Stegostoma tigrinum: one gene and its partners. The protein of the gene in region 1 binds, or shares a complex with, the protein of each later gene. Links are inferred from orthologs where the notes say so. Each region holds a gene or a part of one and is shown on either strand. Other genes may lie near its edges. The genes, in order: bud13, cwc27 and dhx16.

Region 1 (7,870 bases):
AGCAACCAGTGCTGTATTAAACCTGAACTGCCTTTTAAAGTAGCCCAGTGAGACAGTAAATATGTCAAGCCACTTCAGCAATTCAAAGGGGCAGCTCACTACCAGCTTGTCAGGGAAACTTCAGATGAACGACAATGCTAGCCCAGCCAATGATGCTTGCATCCAATTAATGTATTTATAACACAGCGGCCAACACAAATTCACTGCACAGAATGAAATGAGTCTTTTTAAAAAAGACGCCTCACGACTTACCTCCTAAAATTTTCCACTTATTGCTCAGGCGGAATTCCTCCATTTGTTGAATGATTTCAGGCCTTTCATCAATGAACTCTGCCACCTAAAGCAACAGGCTGGAGATCAACACAAAAGTATAATACAACAACAATCTGCATTTACATAGCCTTGTCATAGAGTAAAACAGCCCTAAATCATTCTCAGGAATGGTGATCAAATAAACCCTGACACAAGACATTAGGTCAATTGACCAAAAGCCTCATCATAAAAATTAGGTACGAAGTTTGGACCCAAGCAGTTTAAAGTACAGCATGATGTAGTGAATATAAACAATGATCATTTTAAATATTCACTGTCATGATTAGATTAGATTCCCTACAGTCTGGAAACAGGCCCTTTGGCCCAACAAGTCCACACAGCCCCTTGCAGCATCCCACCCAGACCCATCCCCCTATAACCCACACACCCCTGAACATTACGGGCAATTTAGCATGGCCAATCCACCTAACCTGAAAATCTTTGGACTGTGGGAGAAAACCGGAGCACCCAGAGGAAACCCACACAGACACGGGGAGAATGCGCAAACTCCATACAGACAGTCGCTCGAGGCTGGAATCGAACCCGGGTCCCTGGCGCTGTGAGGCTGCAATGCTTACACTGAGCCACCGTGCCGCCCCTCATCTATCACATTGAACTGTATATGGGCAAGTTCAGAGACTAAGGCTCCCTCTTCACTGTACCTACCAAAAAACCCCAGGATAGGTACGGAATGGAATTAGAAACAGAGTGATGCTCCCGCTACATTGTCCCTAATGAACACACTCTGGACAAAGCATTCAAACTCAGCCATAAGGTCAGTCATTTCCAAATACACAGCAAGACACTTTCCACAGCAGTCTCTCACAGAATCTTAGAGTACAGGTAGGAGGATTTATCTCCTTTTACCCGTATTGGGTGTATTAAAAACTTAGCTAATTTGTCCCACATCCTTGTTCTTTCCCTCATCATCCTGTAAAACCTTCCACTTTGAGTATTTATGAAATTCCCAATGAAAAGTTACTTTTAAATCTGTTTCCACCACCCAGTTGAAACTAGAACAACTTTCTGCACTAAAAGAAATTCTCCCATCACTTCTGACTCTTCTGCTCTCATGTGGAACTTATCGATTTGTTTATAAGCGAATGTTCAACAAGCATTAGGAAGACTGGGATTAGCTTTAGAGACTGGTCAGATGGGCTGGAAACCTTCTCTAGCTCTGAATTTTCTCCTTTCCAAATCACTTAACAACCTTCTTGTGGGGTTTTGGCAGTTCAATTAAAATGTCTTGTTGATACTGGGGTATCTTCAGCAGCAGTAACAGTAGTCACAGTGTTGAAGTCTTAATTAGTTATTTGCTGACAAATCTTAGAATCAGTCAGTCCTGAGAATAGCTATTTCACCTACCACAGGGGCTTCATCATCCTCATCCTCTGCTGCCTCTAATACAGCCTCTTTCTCCTTCTCCTTCGCAAGGGTCTTCCAGGTCACATCATCATCCACAATCCGCATTCTGTAATATAACAGGACAGAGGCTTTCAACTGACAGAACTAGACTCAACAGCATCCCTGATCTAAAACAGATACAGAGTAAAGTAACACTTCACATGATAAAAAGGGAAAGCTGACAACACCACAGATTACAAAAATGAGAGGGCATTGGAGAACTGCATCGTGGATAAGAAATTTCAATTGCACGAAGAGGCTGAGGACACTGGGGTCCTCCACTCTAAGAGTAAGGATGGTAAAGGGGTGTTTAGATAGAGCAGTAAATAACGAGAAAGCTTCTAGTGGCAAGAGATCCAGAAACCAGAGGAACACAAATTACACTAAGAGAGAAGGAACTGTATCAGAGGAGCAGGAAAGGTGATGTTTCAGGCCTAGGCCTCCCTCAGCCTCCCTGCCCCTCTGATGCTGCTTGGCTTGTTGTGTTCATCCAGCTCCACACCTTGTTAACACAAATTATAGCCATTACCACAGGTGAAACTTACTTTATAAAACAGATCGAGGTTAAACATTACAACATTGAGGAGAGAGGTGACGGGATAACTTCTTTAAAGATCCAGCACTGGGGCAATGGGCGAATGGCCTCTTTCTGTGAGGCATGTTATTAATAAACCTCAAGAAAAAGTGAACAATATTTAACTCTGTCACATAATGAACAACTGCCCATTAAAAGCAAGAAACCGTTCCCTTGTGAAAACTAACTTAAAACACGACAACGGAATTACTCCAAAGCTACAATGTAATTCTACAACGATGAGGCCACAGCAAAGTGTTGAATTATGAATTTCTCTAGCGCCTATCAGGAGCTCGGCTATAACGAGGTCCCGGGTGATCCGGTGATAATTTTACTGATAGTTTGGTGTTTGGTGCGAATGAGGTTCAGACCCGGCTCCTGCCGCCTGAGGCGTGCGGGAGGGCGGCCTCACCCGCAGGAAACCATCAGGCCTCAGGCCTTTCCACGTCGGGCTGGCCGCTTACGCTGCTCCCTGCGCGGGCCTCACCCTCCGCCTTTAATCTTCACCCTCCGCCTCCTCCTGGTCCGCTTGGGGCCCGGCTCCGAGCCGCTCAGGTACCGCTTCAGGTATTCCTCCTTACTCAGGCCGGCCATGGGATCCCCTCCCTCTCCCGGCGCTACCGGCCCGGCTCCTTCCTACCCGGACTCCGCTGGCGCTGCTTCCGCCGGCACCGAGCGGTCTTCACTCACCGGCCCCGCTCGACCGGCCCGGCCCCCGGCCCCCGGCCCCCGGCCCCCGGCGGGAAACCCGCCCGCCTCGCGCCGCCATCTTGGTGCCTCAAGCCGATGTCTCGCGGACAGGATGGTCACCCCCCCCCATCCCCCCCCACATCCAGCCCATCACCCCTCAAACCCCCACCCCCCCTCACATCCCCACCCCCCCTCACATCCCCACCCCTCACCCCCCATCCCCCCTCACATCCCCACCCCTCAAACCCCCACCCCCCCTCACATCCCCACCCCTCACCCCCCCATCCCCCCTCACAATCCCCACCCCTCACCCCTCACATCCCCACCCCTCACCCCTCACATCCCCACCCCTCACCCCCCCACCCCTCACCCCCCCATCCCCCCTCACCCCCTCACCCCCCCACCCCCCCTCACATCCCCACCCCCCCCTCACATCCCCACCCCTCACCCCCCCACCCCTCACCCCCCCATCCCCCCTCACATCCCCACCCCTCACCCCCCCATCCCCCCTCACATCCCACCCCTCACCCCTCACATCCCACCCCCACCCCTCCCACTCCCCCCCTCCCCTCACATCCCACCCCTCACCCCTCACATCCCCACCCCTCACCCTCACATCCCCACCCCTCACCCCCCCATCCCCCCTCACATCCCCACCCCTCACCCCTGCACATCCCACCCTCACCCCCCCATCCCCCCTCACATCCCACCCCTCACCCTCACATCCCACCCTCACATCCCCACCCCTCGACCCCCCATCCCCCCTCACATCCCCACCCCCCCTCACATCCCCATCCCCCCTCACCCCCCCATCCCCCCTCACCCCCCATCCCCCCTCACCCCCCATCCCCCCTCACATCCCCATCCCCCTCACATCCCCATCCCCCTCACATCCCCACCCCCCCCTCACATCCCACCCCCCCTCACATCCCCACCCCCCCTCACATCCCCACCCCTCACCCCCCATTCCCCCCTCACATCCCCACCCCTCACCCCTCACATCCCCACCCCTCACCCCTCACATCCCCACCCCTCACCCCCCATCCCCCCATCCCCCCTCACATCCCCACCCCCCTCACATCCCCACCCCCCCATCCCCCCTCACATCCCCACCCCCCCTCACATCCCCACCCCTCACCCCCCCATCCCCCCTCACCCCCCCATCCCCCCTCACCCCCCCATCCCCCCTCACATCCCCACCCCCCTCACATCCCCACCCCTCACCCCCCCATCCCCCTCAATCCCCACCCCTCACCCCCCCATCCCCCCTCACATCCCCACCCCCCCTCACATCCCCACCCCTCACCCCCCCAATCCCCCCTCACATCCCCACCCCTCACCCCTCACATCCCCACCCCTCACCCCCACATCCCCACCCCTCACCCCCCCATCCCCCCTCACATCCCCACCCCTCACATCCCCACCCCTCACATCCCCACCCCTCAGCCCCCATCCCCCCTCACATCCCCACCCCTCACCCCCCCATCCCCCCTCCCCCTCACATCCCACCCCCCCTCACATCCCCACCCCCCCTCACATCCCCACCCCTCACCCCCCCATCCCCCCTCACCCCCCCATCCCCACCCCTCACCCCCCCATCCCCCCTCACCCCCCCATCCCCACCCCTCACCCCCCCATCCCCCCTCACCCCCCCATCCCCACCCCTCACCCCCCCATCCCCCCTCACCCCCCCTCACATCCCCACCCCTGACCCCCCCATCCCCACCCCTGACCCCCCCATCCCCCCCCTCACCCCCCCATCCCCACCCCTCACCCCCCCATCCCCCCCCCTCACCCCCCCTCACATCCCCACCCCTCACCCCTCACATCCCCACCCCTCACCCCTCACATCCCCACCCCTCACCCCCCCATCCCCCCTCACATCCCCACTCACATCCCCACACCTCACCCCCCCACCCCCCCTCACATCCCCACCCCTCACCCCCCCACCCCCCCTCACATCCCCACCCCTCACCCCCCCATCCCCCCTCACATCCCCACCCCCCCTCACATCCCCACCCCCCCTCACATCCCCACCCCTCACATCCCCACCCCCCCTCACATCCCCACCCCTCACCCCCCCATCCCCCCTCACATCCCCACACCTCACCCCCCCATCCCCCCTCACATCCCCACCCCCCCTCACATCCCCACCCCTCACCCCCCCATCCCCCCTCACTTCCCCACCCCTCACCCCTCACATCCCCACCCCTCACCCCTCACATCCCCACCCCTCACCCCTCACCCCTCACCCCTCACCCCTCACATCCCCCCTCACATCCCCACCCCTCACCCCTCACATCCCCACCCCTCACCCCTCACATCCCCACCCCTCACCCCCCACATCCCCACCCCTCACCCCCCCACCCCTCACCCCCCCACCCCCCCTCACATCCCCACCCCCCCTCACATCCCCACCCCCCTCATCCCCACCCCTCACCCCCCACATCCCCACCCCTCACCCCCCCCATCCCCACCCCTCACCCCCCCCATCCCCACCCCTCACCCCCCCCATCCCCACCCCTCACCCCCCCATCCCCCCTCACATCCCCACCCCCCCTCACATCCCCACCCCCCTCACATCCCCACCCCCCCTCACATCCCCACCCCCCTCACATCCCCACCCCTCTCACATCCCCACCCCTCACCCCCCCATCCCCCCTCACATCCCCCCTCACATCCCCACCCCTCACCCCCCCATCCCCCCTCACATCCCCACCCCCCATCACATCCCCACCCCTCACCCCCCCATCCCCCCTCACATCCCCACCCCTCACCCCCCCACCCCCCCTCACATCCCCACCCCTCACCCCCCCACCCCCCCACCCCCCCTCACATCCCCACCCCCCCTCACATCCCCACCCCCCCTCGCATCCCCACCCCCCCTCGCATCCCCACCCCCCCTCGCATCCCCACCCCTCACCCCCCCCATCCCCCCTCACATCCCCACCCCTCACCCCTCACATCCCCACCCCTCACCCCTCACATCCCCACCCCTCACCCCCCCATCCCCCCTCACATCCCCACCCCCCCCTCACATCCCCATCCCCACCCCTCACCTCCCCATCCCCACCCCTCACCCCCCCACACATCCCCACCCCTCACCCCCCCATCCCCCCTCACCCCCCATCCCCCCTCACCCCCCCATCCCCCCATCCCCCCTCACCCCCCCATCCCCCCATCCCCCCTCACCCCCCCATCCCCCCTCACATCCCCACCCCCCCTCACCTCCCCATCCCCCCTCACATCCCCACCCCCCCTCACCCCCCCATCCCCCCATCCCCCCTCACATCCCCACCCCCCCTCACCCCCCCACCCCCCCTCACCCCCCCATCCCCCCATCCCCCCTCACATCCCCATCCCCCCTCACATCCCCACCCCCCCTCACATCCCCACCCCTCACCCCCCCATCCCCCCTCACATCCCCACCCCTCACCCCCTCATCCCCCCTCACATCCCCACCCCCCCTCACCCCCCCATCCCCCCTCACATCCCCACCCCCCCTCACCCCCCCATCCCCCCTCACATCCCCACCCCCCCTCACCCCCCCATCCCCCCATCCCCCCTCACATCCCCATCCCCCCTCACATCCCCACCCCCCCTCACATCCCCACCCCTCACCCCCCCTCACATCCCCACCCCTCACCCCCCCTCACATCCCCACCCCTCACCCCCCCATCCCTCACCCCCCCATCCCCCCTCACATCCCCATCCCCCCTCACATCCCCATCCCCCCTCACATCCCCATCCCTCACCCCTCACCCCTCACATCCCCACCCCTCACCCCCCCATCCCCCCCTCACATCCCCACCCCCCCTCACATCCCCACCCCTCACCCCCCCATCCCCCCTCACATCCCCACCCCCCCTCACATCCCCACCCCCCCTCACATCCCCACCCCTCACCCCCCCATCCCCCCTCACATCCCCCCTCACATCCCCACCCCTCACCCCTCACATCCCCACCCCTCACCCCCCCACCCCTCACCCCTCACCCCCCCACCCCTCACCCCTCACCCCTCACCCCCCCACCCCTCACCCCTCACCCCCCCACCCCTCACCCCTCACCCCTCACATCCCCACCCCTCACCCCTCACATCCCCACCCCTCACCCCTCACCCCTCACATCCCCACCCCTCACCCCTCACATCCCCACCCCTCACCCCTCACATCCCCACCCCTCACATCCCCACCCCTCACCCCTCACATCCCCACCCCTCACATCCCCACCCCTCACCCCTCACATCCCCACCCCTCACCCCTCACATCCCCACCCCTCACCCCCCCATCCCCCCTCACATCCCCACCCCCCCTCACATCCCCACCCCCCCTCACATCCCCACCCCTCACCCCCCATCCCCCCTCACCCCCCCTCCCCCCTCACCCCCCCTCACCCCCCCTCACATCCCCATCCCCCCCCTCACATCCCCATCCCCCCCCCTCACATCCCCACCCCTCACATCCCCACCCCTCACCCCTCACCCCTCACATCCCCACCCCTCACATCCCCACCCCTCACCCCTCACATCCCCACCCCTCACCCCTCACATCCCCACCCCTCACCCCCCCATCCCCACCCCTCACCCCCCCATCCCCCCTCACATCCCCATCCCCCCTCACATCCCCATCCCCCCTCACATCCCCACCCCTCACCCCTCACATCCCCACCCCTCACCCCCCCATCCCCCCTCACATCCCCACCCCCACCACCCCCATCCAGCCCATCACCCTGACCCCCACCCACACCCCTCAACCCCCCCTCTCCCCCACCCCTCAACCCCCCCAACCCTCCTCAACCCTCCTCTCCACCACCCCTCAACCCCCCCCCTCCACCACCACCCCTCAACCCCCCCTCTCCACCACCCTTCCACCACCCCCACCCCTCAACCCC
Region 2 (7,653 bases), on another chromosome or scaffold:
CTAGGAATATGACAGCAAGTAACTTCCTTCTCCGTCATCTACATAGCACAAGTCAGGAGAGTAATGAAATATTCCCTACTTGCCTGGATGCATACAGCTCCAAAAGCACTCAGAAACTTGACACCATCCAGGACAAAGCAGCCCATTTGATTGGCACTACATCCACATGCATCCCACTGCCTCCACGTCCAACACTCAGTGGCAGTGTGCACCACCTGCAAGATGCAGTGTTGAAATTCATCAAAAAAATCCTCAGACAGCAGCGTTCAAACCCATGTGCACTTCCATCTGAAAGGCAAGGGCAGCAGATACATAGTAAAACAACCACCTTCAAAGTCCCCTGTAAGGCACTCACAATTCTGAATTTTAAATATATTGCCATTCCTTCACTGTGTCAAAATCCTGGAATTCTCTCCCTAATGGTATTGTGGGTCCACCCATAACAAGTGGACTGCAGCAGTTTAAGGCAGCAGCTCAGCACCACCTTCTCAAGGGCTACTAGGAACAGGCAATAAATGTCAGGTAGGCAGTGGATGCCTGCATCCCTCAAATGAATTTTAAAAAAAAGCTAAGCAAAGTTTTTAAATCATGTTAGATTTCTGATATGACAATAAGGCAAGGTTCTCTCTCTCTGTGACCAGACCTTCAGTTCCACAAGAAATCTTTGCACATTAGAGAGGGTTCAGTTCATTTCAAAGCACGCAACGGCTGTTAAAGACACTATACCTTGTTTTACTTTTCTTTCATGGGACATGAATATCATAAGACCATAAGACATAGGAGTGGAAGTAAGGCCATTCGGCCCATCAGGTCCACTCCGCCATTTAAATCATGGCTGATGGGCATTTCAACTCCACTTCCTGCACTCCCCCCGTAGCCCTTGATTCCTTTTGAGATCAAGAATTTGTCGATCTCTGCCTTGAAGGCATCCAACGTCCCGGCTTCCACTGCACTCTGTGGCAATGAATTCCACAAGCCCACCACTCTCTGGCTGAAGAAATGTTGTCTCATTTCAGTTTTAAATTTACCCCCTCTAATTTTAAGGCTGTGCCCACGGGTCCTAGTCTCCCTGCCTAATGGAAACAACTTCCTAGCGTCCACCCCTTCTAAACCATACATTATCTTGTAAGTTTCTATTAGGTCTCCCCTCAACCTTCTAAACTCCAATGAGTACAATCCCAGGATCCTTAGCCGTTCATCATATGTTAAACCTACCATTCCTGGGATCATCCGTGTGAATCTCCGCTGGACACGCTCCAGGGCTAGTATGTCCTTCCTGAGGTGTACTGGCCAGGCCAGTATTTATTACTCATTTCTAATTGCCCAGAGAGCTGTTGAGAATCAACCATAATAGCACAGATCTGAAGTCACTTGTTGGCCAGACTGGGAAAGGATGGCAAATTTCTTTCCCCTAAGAACTTCAGTGAACCAGATGGGTTTTTTCCCAACAATCCGAACAATGATTTCATAGTCATCATTAGATTATTAATCCCAAACTTTTACTGAATTTAAATTCCACCATCTGCTATCATGGGATTTGAGCCTGGATCTCTGGGTGAATAGTCCAGTGATAATACCACTAGGCCATCATCTCCCCTTAAAGTCAAGATGTCTCACAAATAAAGGTAGGCCTGTGAAAATCAGTTAGAATGGAGATTATCTCAGTTGTTAACACAGCGTCGTCATATGCTCTGAACTAACTCTTTATGATTACCATCCCACTCTTTCAGTCACCTCACCCCATTGTTATAATTCCACACCAGACATTAATAAACTGAGCAGTAAAATTACACTGGCATTTCAGTTGGTACTATACTGTGAGAGATATCAATTTTTGGATGAGACTTTAAACTGATACTCCTTCTAACAGATATGAAAAGTCCCACAGCACAATTTTTAAAAGAAAATCAGAGGGATTCTTGCTATCATCCTGATCATTACTTATCCCTCTAACAATATCACTAAAACAGTTAAGCTACTAAACTCACTTTTTCCTAGATGTTATCAATTCTGAAGAGGTGTCGCTGTCTTAAAACGTCAGCCCTGTTTCTCTCTTTACAGATGTTGCCAGGCTTTCGGAATTTCTCCAGCAATTTTTGTTTTTGTCAGTAGAACAGGTGATCTGGTTATTCATGATCACTTGAAACAGAAAAGCAGGCAACAATTCCTACTTTCCAACAGTGATGATACTCCAAAAGTACTTCATTGTTGAGCAAATGCTTTGGGACAAGGCGAAAGGCGCTATGTAAATGTAAGTCTTTCACAAGTGCTCAAGGAACAAAATGACACGTACAGGGGTAATTGATGTGAACGTTGTAAAACAACCACAAAAATCCAAAACAAAAATCAAGGCCAGAAGAAAATTTACTCGCTCACTTTCGGAAGGGGTGGATCTGTTTTGTTTAAACGAAAGGACATAAATTAGACGCGCGCGAATACCGGACTGTTTGAACATGGCGTTTGGAAGAAATTAGCCCCATCGATCAACGGGCTTGGTTACTGAATGAATGTACACGAATCTTCCCTCGAATGAAGACGCCAATGTATACAGGTTTGTGATAAACGTGTTATTTACCTTGCCGCTGCTCGGCGGCTCCTGGATGTAAATGTTGCTCATGGCGCCGCTTTGGAACGCGAGCCCAGTTTAAAACGCGGCGCTCGCTCGCGCTGTCTAACGTCCTCCGTTCACCGATCCCGAGAAGCCAGCCGGCCCCTCACTCACCGCACCAAAACTAAGAAAACCTAAACTCAAAAACCCTGCCTGCAGATAATCCACTTACGCAGCTCCACCGAGAGCCTTCCCCCGCCGCCAAGTCCCTGCGAAATGTCGTGTATTTTAGAATGTTCGCCTGTTATCCGCCGGGGGTTCGCGCAAAGTTCGCTCTGAAAGCAAACGGCCCATGTCATGGACGCGCAAGTACAGAAATTAACTGTAACGGAGAGTATGGATATGCTGCGTATGATTTTGAAAGTTGAAACCGAGCGTTTCTTTATGTTTTTATTTTGTTATTGAAGCTGGTGGGAAGATATTAAACGGTGCACCAGATCAGCAAGTGTGCTTGGGAACTTTCTAGAAGTAGAAACGAATGGAATTTCGCAATGGCTTTTTCAGGTGAATTATAATGATTTGATTTTTTTGCGTAGATATTGCTTTTAAATTACATTTTGGGAGTATAAAGCGGCGAACTATTTAAACTTTGGTGATAGGTCTGACTTCGGAATCGTGTTTGGAAGGTGCTGCATGTCACTGATCGCATAACAGGAAGTGAACGAGGGTCACTACACTCGAAACATTAACTCCCCCTTCTTTTCAAATGCTGCCGGATCTGTATTTCTTTCGCACTTCGTTTGTTTTTGCTTTAGACTTCTAGTATTCGCAGTTCTTTGCATATCTCAATGATATTCAGGTCAACTATCAAGAAATATATGGCGAGTCATCCAACTTCTTTTCCAAGACCAATTCCCCCTCCCTCCATGGATAAGATTTCCTTAACCATGTTTGCAGCGAAGCATCATAGCATCTCCAGTCAACCTTGAGAACCCCCAAAGGCAACTCCCTCCTGACTGTAAGATAACAAAGTGTGGAGCTGGATGAACACAGCAGGCCAAGCGGCATCTCAGGAGCACAAAAGCTGACGTTTCGGGCCTAGACCCTTCATCAGAGAGGGGGATGGGGAGAGGGAACTGGAACAAATAGGGAGAGAGGGGGAGGCGGACCGAAGATGGAGAAAAGAAGCTAGGTAGATTACAAGAGAGTTGCAGTGGGAGAGAGATTCCCTGAGGTTGATCCGGAGGGAGGAGGGTAACTTCTTCAGGTTAGGCATCCCTGGAAGAGGCTTTGCAGTGAGGTTAAAATTGTATGGTGGAGCTGTATGAACGCAGCAGGCCAAGCAGCATCTCCAGCGGATGCTGCTTGGCCTGCTGTGTTCATCCAGCTCCACACTTTGTTATCGTGGATTCTCCAGCATCTGCAGTTCCCATTATCCCTCCTCACTGTATACCGCTGCATCGCCACCTCTCATGGGTCTGTTGTTTTAGCGTGACGGCACACTGCTAGGGATAGTGATTGTGGTGATTGGGACTTTATTTGTCTTGTGTAATCATATCTTACAGACAGTGTCACTCTGGATTGGTTGATTTGGTCTGAAGGTCAGCACAAATTTTAAGATATTGGTTGTGTCATCAAGGCTGTGTGTGCCATGATAACAAGGTGTGGAGCTGGATGAACACTGCAGGCCAAGCAGCATCTTAGGAGCAGGACAGTTGTTTCTAGTGCCTTTGTTGATCCCAGGTGGGTCTGTCTGGTTCTATTCCTTTCATAGAACATAGAACAGTACTGCACAGTACAGGCCCTTTGGCCCACGATATTGTGCTGCCCTATTATCCTCCTGCGATCAATTTACCCTGCATACCTTACATTTCATTATCCTCCATGTGCCTATCCAAGAGTGGCTTAAAAGTCTCTAAAGTATTTGATTCCATTACCACTGCTGGAAACGCATTCTATACGCTCACCACTCTGTGTGAAGAACCTACCTCTGACATCTCCACTATACCTTCCTCCGGTCACCTTACAATTATGCCCCCTCATAATAGTCATTTCCACCCTGGGGGAAAAAAATCTGACTATCCTCTCTATCTATGCTTTTCATCATCTTGTACATCTCTATCAAGTCACTGCTCATCTTTCTTTGCTCCAGTGAAAAAAGCCCTAGCTCCCTCAACCTTTCCTCATAAGACCTGTCCTCCACCCCGGGCAGCATCCTGGTAAATCTCCTATGCACCCTTTCTAAATTTTCCACATCTTTCCTCTAATGAGGTGACCAGGTCTAACCAAAGTTTTGTAGAGCTGCAACATAACCACACAGCTCTTAAACTGAATTCCCCTGCCAATGAAAGCCAACACACCATATGCCTGCTTTACAACCCTATCAACTTAAGTCCATAAGATCATAAGACATAGGAGTGGAAGTAAGGCCATTCAGCCCATCAAGTCCACTCTGCCATTTAAATCATGGCTGATGGGCATTTCAACACCACTTCCCTGCACTCCCCCCGTAGCTCTTGATTCCTTTTGAGATCAAGAATTTGTCGATCTCTGCCTTGAAGGCATCCAACGTTCCGGCCTCCACTGCACTCTGCGGCAATGAACTTGTGTAGCAACTTTGAGGGATCTATGGACGTGAACCCTAAGATCCCTTTGTTCCTCCACGCTGCCGGGAACCCTGCCATCAATCTGTATTCTGCATTCAAATTCAATTTTCCAAAATAAATCACTTTTCACTTTTCTGGGTTGAGTTCCATCTGCCACTTCATTGCCCAGCTCTGCATCCTGTCACTGTCCCGTTGCAACCTACAATGGCCTTCCACCCTGTCCACAACTCCACCAACCTTTGTGTCATCGGCAAACTTACTAACCCTTCCTCCCGCTTCTTCACCCAAGTTGCTTATAAAGATCAGAAAGAACAGAGGTCCTAGAACAGATTCCTGCGGAACAACACTGGTCACCGAGCTCCAGGTTAAATACTCTCCATCAATACCACCCTCTGTCTTCTGTTGGAGAGCTAGTTTTGTATCCAGACAGCCAAATTTCCCTGAATCCCATGCCTCCTTACTTTCTGAATGAGCCGACCATATGGAACCTTATCAAATGTCTTGCTATAAAATCCATATGCACCACATCCACTGCTGTACCTTCATTGATGTCTTTTGTCACATTGTCAAAGAATTCAATAAGACTTGTGAGGCATGACCTGCCCCTCACAAAGCCATGCTGACCAATTCAAATCAAACTATGCTTTTCCAAATTACCATAAATATTATCTCTCAGAATCCTTTCCAATAATTTGCCCACCACAGAAGAAAGACTGACAGGTCTGTAATTTCCAGGATTATCCCTATTCCCTTTCTTGAACAAAGGAATGACAACCTCCAATCTTCTGGTACTATACAGTGGACAGTGAGGACGCAAAGATCATTGCCATTGGGGCAGCTATCTCCTCCCTCACTTTCTGTAGGAATCTTGGCTATATCCTGTCTGGCCTAGGGGACTTATCTGTCCTCATGTTTTTCACAATTTTTAGCATATCCTCCCTCCTAACATCAACCTGTTCAAGCATATCTGCCTGTTTCATGCTGTCCTCGCAAGCATGAAGTTCCCTCTCAGTGGTCAATACTGAAGTAAAGTATTTATTAAGGACCTCCCCGACCTCCTCTGACTCCGTGCACAAGTTCCCTCTGCTATCCCTGATTGGCCCTACCCTCACTCTAGCCATCTTGTTCCTCACGTAAGTATAGAAGCCTTGGGATTTTCCTTGATCCTACCCACTGACGATTTCTCATACCCCCTCCTAGCTGTCCTAAGTCCATTCTTCAGTTCCTTCCTGGCTACCTTGTAGACCTCTAAAGCCCTATCCGATCCTTGCTTCCTCAACTTTAAGTAAGCTTCCTTCTTCCTGTTTCATCAGACGTTGTAACAGTTAGATATTGAGCAGCTTGCTGGGACATTTCAGAGCGCATTGAGAGTTAGCATTGGTGTGGAAATGAAGTTGCATTTCGAATAAACAAGGTAAGAACTGCAGATTCCCTGTCGCTTAAGGGAGTCAGTAAACCAGATGGGTTTAATGAAAATTGGCAATGGTTCCATGGTCACCATTAAACCAGCTTTTAATTCCAGATTCATTAACTAAATTCAAATTTCATCATCTGATAGGCTTGAAGTCTATGTCCCTCAGATCTGGAACTATAAGAAATAGGAACAGGAACAGGCTGTTCAGTCCAGTGAGCCTTCTCTACCATTTAATGGGACTGTGGTTAATCCAACACTCCTAACACCCTGTCTTTTCCCTATAACCCTTGGTTTCCCCTACTGATCAAGAATCTGTTGTGGGAAAATCTGGCTACTTATTAAGAAATCTCACAGACAATCAAGTACTGAAAAAACAGTTCAAACTTTATTGTAAATATTAGACCCCTCGGGTAAGTAAGTTTTAGGCCTGTGACCCAATTAGTGGTGAAATCAGGCCAGGACATCAACCAATTGTGATCTGTCTCTGGAAGTTTCCAGGTTTCTGTCCTTCTGCGGTGTTGTTCTTCAGAGTTCTGCTGTTGAGTTTTTCACATTCGATTCTTGTACAGATTTTCATCCTTTATGTGGATAATGCTTTGAGAGTCTTTCAAGCGAGTTAGTGTAAGACTGCAGCTGGCTTCGTTATCAAAAGTAATTTCTTTGTTTCTTGTTACATTTGGCAATGACTGTCGGTTCAAAGACAGCTTTCTGGTGATTAACTCCTTAAATTCTTGAACAGGGCAAACCTTGTCCCTTATGCCAGTAAAGCATCCAATTATCAAGCAGGTGTCAAAGCAGCTTTGTTTATGGAATCTTGCTAATTCTTTGAGTCTGTGTTACAGCTTGTCTTTGTTCCTTATCAGTTTATTTCAAACAGAGTTATTTTTGTGTGTAATAGTTTATCTTTTCTTGATTCATTCAGTCGATGATCAATCATTAAGAGTTCTGTAATCTTTACTTAAATAGTCCCTCCTGTCTTTATTATTTTTAATATGAACAGGGACTGGTAATTGGCCATTTCCAACACAACATTGGTTCATAACGTTACACGGATTTGCTACACCATGCCCAATTTAAAATGTACC
Region 3 (6,948 bases), on another chromosome or scaffold:
CCTTTTCTCTCTCACACACACACATTCCTTTTCTCTCTCTCACACACACACTCCTTTTCTCTCTCTCTCACACACACACACTCCTTTTCTCTCTCACTCACAGACTCCTTTTCTCTCTCACACACACACACTCTTTTTCTCTCTCACACACACAGACTCCTTTTCTCTCTCACACACACACTCCTTTTCTCTCTCACTCACAGACTCCTTTTCTCTCTCACACACACAGGCTCCTTTTCTCTCTCACACACACACACTGCTTTCCTCTCTCACACACACAGACTCCTTTTCTCTCTCACACACACACAGACTCCTTTTCTCTCTCACACACACACACTCTTTTTCTCTCTCACACACACAGACTCCTTTTCTCTCTCACACACACACTCCTTTTCTCTCTCACTCACAGACTCCTTTTCTCTCTCACACACACAGACTGCTTTTCTCTCTCACACACACACACACACTCCTTTTCTCTCTCACACACACAGACTCCTTTTCTCTCTCACACACACACAGACTCCTTTTCTCTCTCACACACACACACACTCCTTTTCTCTCTCACACACACACAGACTCCTTTTCTCTCTCACAGACAGACACAGACTCCTTTTCTCTCACACACATACACAGACTCCTTTTCTCTCTCTCACACACACACACACTCCTTTTCTCTCTCACACACACACACAGACTCCTTTTCTCTCATACACACACACTCCTTTTCTCTCTCACTCACAGACTCCTTTTCTCTCACACACACACAGACTCCTTTTCTCTCTCACACACACACACTCCTTTTCTCTCTCACTCACAGACTCCTTTTCTCTCTCACACACAGACTCCTTTTCTCTCACACACACACACTCCTTTTCTCTCTCACACACACAGACTCCTTTTCTCTCTCACACACACACAGACTCCTTTTCTCTCTCACACACACACAGACTCCTTTTCTCTCACACACACAGACTCCTTTTCTCTCTCACACACACACACTCCTTTTCTCTCTCACACACATACAGACTCCATTTCTCTCACACACAGACTCCTTTTCTCTCTCACACACACACACACTCCTTTTCTCTCTCTCACACACACAGACTCCTTTTCTCTCTCACACACACACACTCCTTTTCTCTCTCACACACACGCACTCTTTTTCTCTCTCACACACACAGACTCCTTTTCTCTCTCACACACACACAGGCTCCTTTTCTCTCTCACACACACACAGACTCCTTTTCTCTCATACACACACACAGACTCCTTTTCTCTCTCACACACACACTCATTTTCTCTCTCACTCACAGACTCCTTTTCTCTCTCACACACAGACTCCTTTTCTCTCTCACACACACACACTCCTTTTCTCTCACACACACACACACTCCTTTTCTCTCTCACACACACAGACTCCTTTTCTCTCTCACACACACACACAGACTCCTTTTCTCTCTCACACACACACACAGGCTCCTTTTCTCTCACACACACACACGCTCTTGCACATACACAGACACGGATACACATGTGAATTATTTCATCCAAGATATTTGTGAAGTTGCAAATATTCCAAGCCTCCGATCTGCTTTTGGACACACACTATTTACCCTGCTAGTCCAATAATACAGTTCCTGCTCAGTGGTAACCCCTAGGATGTTAACAGTGAATCAATGATGGTGATGCTATTGAAATGTCAAAGCGATATGAGGATTCATTCTGAGATAATGGGGAACTGCAGATGCTGGGACAATCCAAGATAACAAAGTGTGAAGTTGGATGAACACAGCACCTCAGGAGCACAAAAGCTGACGTTTCGGGCCTAGGCCCTTCATCAGAGAGGGGGATGAGGAGAGGGTTCTGGAATAAATAGGGAGAGAGGGGGAGGCGGACCGAAGATGGAGAGAAAAGAAGATAGGTGGAGAGGAGAATGTAGGTGGGGAGGTAGGGAGGGGATAGGTCAGTCCAGGGAAGACGGACAGGTCAAGGAGGTGGGATGAGGTTGGTAGGTGGGAAATGGAGGTGCAGCTTGAGGTGGGAGGAGGAGATAGGTGAGAGGAAGGACAGAGGTTAGGGAGGCGGGGATGAGCTGGGGTGGTTTTGGGATGCAGTGGGGGAAAGGGAGATTTTGAAGCTTGTGAATTCCACATTGATACCATTGGGCTGCAGGGTTCCCGAGCCGAATATGAGTTGCTGTTCCTGCAACCTTCGGGTGGCATCATTGTGGCACTGCAGGAGGCCCAGGATGGACATGTCGTCTGAGGAATGGGAGGGGGAGTGGAAATGGTTTGCGACTGGGAGGTGCAGTTGTTTATTGCGAACCGAGCGGAGGTGTTCTGCAAAGCAGTCCCCAAGCCTCCACTTGGTTTCCCCAATCCGACCCCAGCACCCAAGACATTTTTTCATCCCCAGCCTTGTCTGCTTTCCAGAGAGACCACTGTCTCCGCGACTCCCTTGTCCGCTCCACACTCCCCTCCAACCCCACCACACCCGGCACCTTGCCCTACAACCGCAGGAAATGCTACACTTGCTCCCAAACCTCCTCCCTCACCCCCATCCCAGGCCCCAAGATGACTTTCCATATTAAGCAGAGGTTCACCTGCACATCTGCCAATGTGGTATACTGCATCCACTGTACCCAGTGTAGCTTCCTCTACATTGGGGAAACCAAGCGGAGGCTTGGGGACCGCTTTGCAGAACACCTCCGCACAGTTCGCAATAAACAACTGCACCTCCCAGTCGTAAACCATTTCCACTCCCCCTCCCATTCTTTAGATGACATGTCCATCATGGGCCTCCTGCACTGCCACAATGATGCCACCCGAAGGTTACAGGAACAGCAACTCATATTCCGCTTGGGAACCCTGCAGCCCAATGGTGTCAATGTGGACTTCACCAGTTTCAAAATCTCCCCTTCCCCTACTGCATCCCTAAACCAGCCCAGTTCGTCCCCTCCCCCCACTGCACCACACAACCAGCCCAGCTCTTCCCCCCCACCCACTGCATCCCAAAACCAGTCCAACCTGTCTCTGCCTCCCTAACCGGTTCTTCCTCTCACCCATCCCTTCCTCCCACCCCAAGCCACACCCCCAGCTACCTACTAACCTCATCCCACCTCCTTGACCTGTCCGTCTTCCCTGGACTGACCTATCCCCTCCCCACCTCCCCACCTATACTCTCTCCACCTATCTTCTTTACTCTCCATCTTCGGTCCGCCTCCCCCTCTCTCCCTATTTATTCTAGTTCCCTCTCCCCATCCCCCTCTCTGATGAAGGGTCTAGGCCCGAAACGTCAGCTTTTGTGCTCCTGAGATGCTGCTGGGCCCGCTGTGTTCATCCAGCCCCACATTAAGCGATATGAGGATTCCATCTTGTTGGAGATGGTCATTTCCGACCCGTTGTGTATATTTCTATACGTAGGCGGCGCTGTGAGTGGAGTCTCCCATGGCTTTCCCCTCCCGGACAGAGGCGGCGCTGTGACGGACGTCTCCCCCGAGTCCCCTCCCGGACAGAGGCAGCGCTGTGACCGGAGTCTCCACCGAGTCCCCTCCCGGACAGAGGCGGCGCTGCGACCGGAGTCTCCCCCGAGTCCCCTCCCGGACAGAGGCGGCGCTGCGACCGGAGTCTCCCCCGAGTCCCCTCCCGGACAGAGGCGGCGCTATAGCTGGAGTCTCTCCCGAGTCCCCTCCCGGACAGAAGCAGCGCTGTGACGCGTGTCTCCCCCGAGTCCCATCCCGGTCAGAGGCGGCGCTGTGACCGGAGTGTCCCCTCCCGGACAGAGGCGGCGCTGCGACCGGAGTCTCCCCCGAGTACCCTCCCGGACAGAGGCGGCGCTGTGACCGGAGTCTCCCCCGAGTCCCCTCCCGGACAGAGGCGGCGCTGTGACTGGAGTTTGTGACGCTCTGCCTCACCGCGCTCGCAGTGGCCGGGAGCAGGAGACTGAGGGGTGTGTGCGGGCTGTTGTCAGGATCAGGTCCTGGTTGGGCCGTCGGGGCAAGGGCCTGGTTGGTCCGGGTGGAGCCTGTTGTTCTGAGAAGGTGAGTGCGGCTTGGGATTGTGCATCTGGTCGCAAACTGAAACAAGCAAATTTACTCTGAACCTCGTTAGTTTTGGGTCTCCATTATCGAAGGTCCCCATGAAACAAGCCCCCCCCCCCCCCCCGGTCCCCATGAAACAGGCCCCCCCGGTGTCCCCCCCCCCCCGGTGTCCCCCCCCCCCGGTGGTCCCCCCCCACCCGGTCCCCCCCCCCACCCCCCCCCGGTCCCCCGGTGTCCCCCCCCCCCCGGTCCCCGGTGCCCCCCCCCCCGGTCCCCCGGTGCCCCCCCCCCCCGGTCCCCCGGTGTCTCCCCCCCCCCCCCGGTGTCCCCCCCCCCCCGGTGTCCCCCCGTCCCCCCGGTGTCCCCCCCCCCCCCCCCGGTGTCCCCCCCCCCCCCCCCGTGTCCCCCCCCCCCCCCCGGTGTCCCCCCCCCCCCCCGGTGCCCCCCCCCCCCCCCCCCGTGTCCCCCCCCCCCCCCCGGTGTCCCCCCCCCCCCCGGTGCCCCCCCCCCGTCCCCCGGTGTCCCCCCCCCGTCCCCCGGTGTCCCCGTCCCCCGTCCCCCCCCCCCCCCGTCCCCCGGTGTCCCCCCCCCCCCCCCCGTCCCCCGGTGTCCCCCCCCCCCCCCGTCCCCCGGTGTCCCCCCCCCCCCCCCCGTCCCCCGGTGTCCCCCCCCCCCCCCCCGTCCCCCGGTGTCCCCCCCCCCCCCCGTCCCCCGGTGTCCCCCCCCCCGTCCCCCGTCCCCCCCGTCCCCCCCGTCCCCCGTCCCCCCCCCCCGTCCCCCCCCCCCCCCCCCGTCCCCCCCCCCCCCCCGTCCCGTCCCCCGTCCCCCCGTCCCCCTCCCCCCCCCCCCCCCGTCCCCCTCCCCCGGTGTCCCCCCCCCCGTCCCCCGTCGTCCCCCGTCCCCCGTCGTCCCCCCCCCCGTCCCCCGGTGTGTCCCCCCGGGTCCCCCGGTGTCCTCCCCCCCCCCGGGTTCCCCGGTGCGCCCCCCGGTCCCGCCCCCCCCCCGGTCCCGCCCCCCCCCCCCGGTCCCGCCCCCCCCCCCCCCCCCCCCCCCCCGGTCCCCCCCGGTCCCCATGACACAGCCCCCTTCACCCCTGGTCCCCATTAACATTGTCGCCCTTTTACCCCGAGTCCCGATTAACCAGGTTCACACTTTACCCGGGTCTCCATTGACCCCTCATCTCCATTAACCCCTCATCTCCATTAACGAGCTTCTCATCTACCCAAGGTTCCCCATTAACTGGGCTCCCCAGTCATCCAAACTGCCATTAATAGGGCTCCCCAATTACTCCTGGTCTACATTAGGCAGATTTCTGTTAACCCCGCGTCCAAAGTAGCCCAGAGACATCACTCAAACCCCAGGGTCTGCTCCAACTGTACTCGCCCTATCCGTTTGCCCACTGATTTGGCCCTCCCCAATTCCTGACGGGATTTTTGTGTTATTTTTGAAAAAGCGTACCGCTCGCTGTTTGCAGAGATACCACCATGACCTCGCTGGAGAAGTGGGTGAATGACCAGCTTCACCAGCTGCTGGGGCTGAGTGATAAGTATGTGGCACAGTTCCTGATTGGCACTGCCCAGCGCAGCGAGAGCGTGGCAAACTTCATCCGGCGCCTGGAGGAGACGGGAACCATTGACATCACACAGGGAGTCCGACGCTTTGCAGATGAGCTCTGGGCGAAGGTGGGTGCTGTGTGGGGCACGGTGGGAGGATGGTGCTGGCGAGTAGCAGATACTGTGACTGGACAGGCTGGTTGGAGTTCAAGACTAGGTTGTGGCATGTGCAGGGTGATGGGAGTTGCAGGCCGCTGGGCCCCCCCCGGTTAGGCTTGTCATCCTTCGCACCTTGCTGTGCTCCTAGGCTGCACCCCCTCCCTCGGTCAGTGTTTGGTGAACAGTGCCTTTTGCAGGATCATGTGTTCTGTTTTATCAATTCATTGCTGAGCTGAAATTTTCAGCATTAATTTATGGAACGTGGATGTCACCCAAGGCTTAGATCAGCACTTGCTACCCATCCCTAATTTCCTGAAGCTTATGCTAGGCCACATCCTTGAACCACTGCAATCCGTATGACATAGGAACAGCCACCGTGCTGTCATGGACAGAGTTCCAGGGTTCTTAACCAAGAGTCATAGAGTCATACATCATGCAAATAGGCCCAACTCATCCATTCTGACCAGGTTTCCCAAACCAAACTAAGCCAGTCCCATTTTCCTGCATTTGGCTCATATCCCTGTAAACCCTTCTGATCCATGTACTGCCCAAATGTCCTTTAAATTGTAAATGTACTGACTTCTACCACATCCTGTGGCGGTTCATTCTGTACACACACCATCCTCTGGATAAAAGAGAATGCACCTTGGGTCTCTTTTAAATCTTTCCCCTCTCACCTTAAACGTATGCCCTCTAGTTTTGCGCACCCCTACCCTGGGAAAAAGACCTTGCCTATTCACCCTATCTGTGGCCCTTATGATTTTAACAACTTCTGTAAGGTCACCAATCAGCCTCCACGCTCCAGGGAAAATAGCCCCAACCTATCCAGCCTCTCTTTATAACTCAAACCTTCCGGTTTTCTGCACTATTTCAAGTTTAATAGCACCCATCCTACAGCAGGGTGACTAGAATTGCATGCAGTGGCCTTGCCAATATCTCTTACAGCCACAACATGACCTGCCCGTTCCTGCAGTCACTGCTCTGACTGATGAAGGCAAGCGTGCCAATTACCACCTTCACCACCCTGTCTACCCGTGAGCCAACTTTCAAGGAACTATGTACCTGCATCCCCGAAGTCTCTCTCTGTTCTACAGCACTCACCAGAGCCCAGCCGTTAACTGTAAGTCCTGCCCTAGTTGGTCTTATGCAAAATGCACCTCACATTTATCAAAATTAAACTCCATCTGCCACTCCTCG

Evidence for each region.
Region 2: bud13 (region 1) and cwc27 share a complex: the UniProt entries of both Homo sapiens proteins name them as parts of the activated spliceosome. The link is inferred for Stegostoma tigrinum from reciprocal best matches to the Homo sapiens genes BUD13 and CWC27.
Region 3: bud13 (region 1) and dhx16 share a complex: the UniProt entries of both Homo sapiens proteins name them as parts of the minor spliceosome. The link is inferred for Stegostoma tigrinum from reciprocal best matches to the Homo sapiens genes BUD13 and DHX16.

Annotation. Positions count from the first base shown.
Region 1 is NC_081385.1:598,547-606,416, forward strand, and holds the start of bud13 (BUD13 homolog), read right to left. Parts: upstream 3,012-7,870; 5' UTR 2,885-3,011; coding exon 2,778-2,884; intron 2,719-2,777; exon of another isoform or gene 2,262-2,718; intron 1,785-2,261; exon of another isoform or gene 1,784-1,784; coding exon 1,678-1,783; intron 351-1,677; exon of another isoform or gene 338-350; coding exon 253-337; intron 1-252. UniProt on the Homo sapiens protein: Involved in pre-mRNA splicing as component of the activated spliceosome. As a component of the minor spliceosome, involved in the splicing of U12-type introns in pre-mRNAs.
Region 2 is NC_081354.1:118,668,598-118,676,250, forward strand, and holds the start of cwc27 (spliceosome-associated protein CWC27 homolog), read right to left. Parts: upstream 3,007-7,653; 5' UTR 2,618-3,006; coding exon 2,576-2,617; intron 2,552-2,575; coding exon of another isoform or gene 2,530-2,551; exon of another isoform or gene 2,312-2,529; intron 1-2,311. Other genes in the region: protein SREK1IP1, read left to right, coding at 2,530-2,551. UniProt on the Homo sapiens protein: As part of the spliceosome, plays a role in pre-mRNA splicing. Probable inactive PPIase with no peptidyl-prolyl cis-trans isomerase activity. As a component of the minor spliceosome, involved in the splicing of U12-type introns in pre-mRNAs.
Region 3 is NC_081387.1:14,336,021-14,342,968, reverse strand, and holds the start of dhx16 (pre-mRNA-splicing factor ATP-dependent RNA helicase DHX16), read left to right. Parts: upstream 1-3,896; 5' UTR 3,897-4,039; intron 4,040-5,492; exon of another isoform or gene 5,493-5,513; 5' UTR 5,514-5,523; coding exon 5,524-5,721; intron 5,722-6,948. UniProt on the Homo sapiens protein: Required for pre-mRNA splicing as a component of the spliceosome. Contributes to pre-mRNA splicing after spliceosome formation and prior to the first transesterification reaction.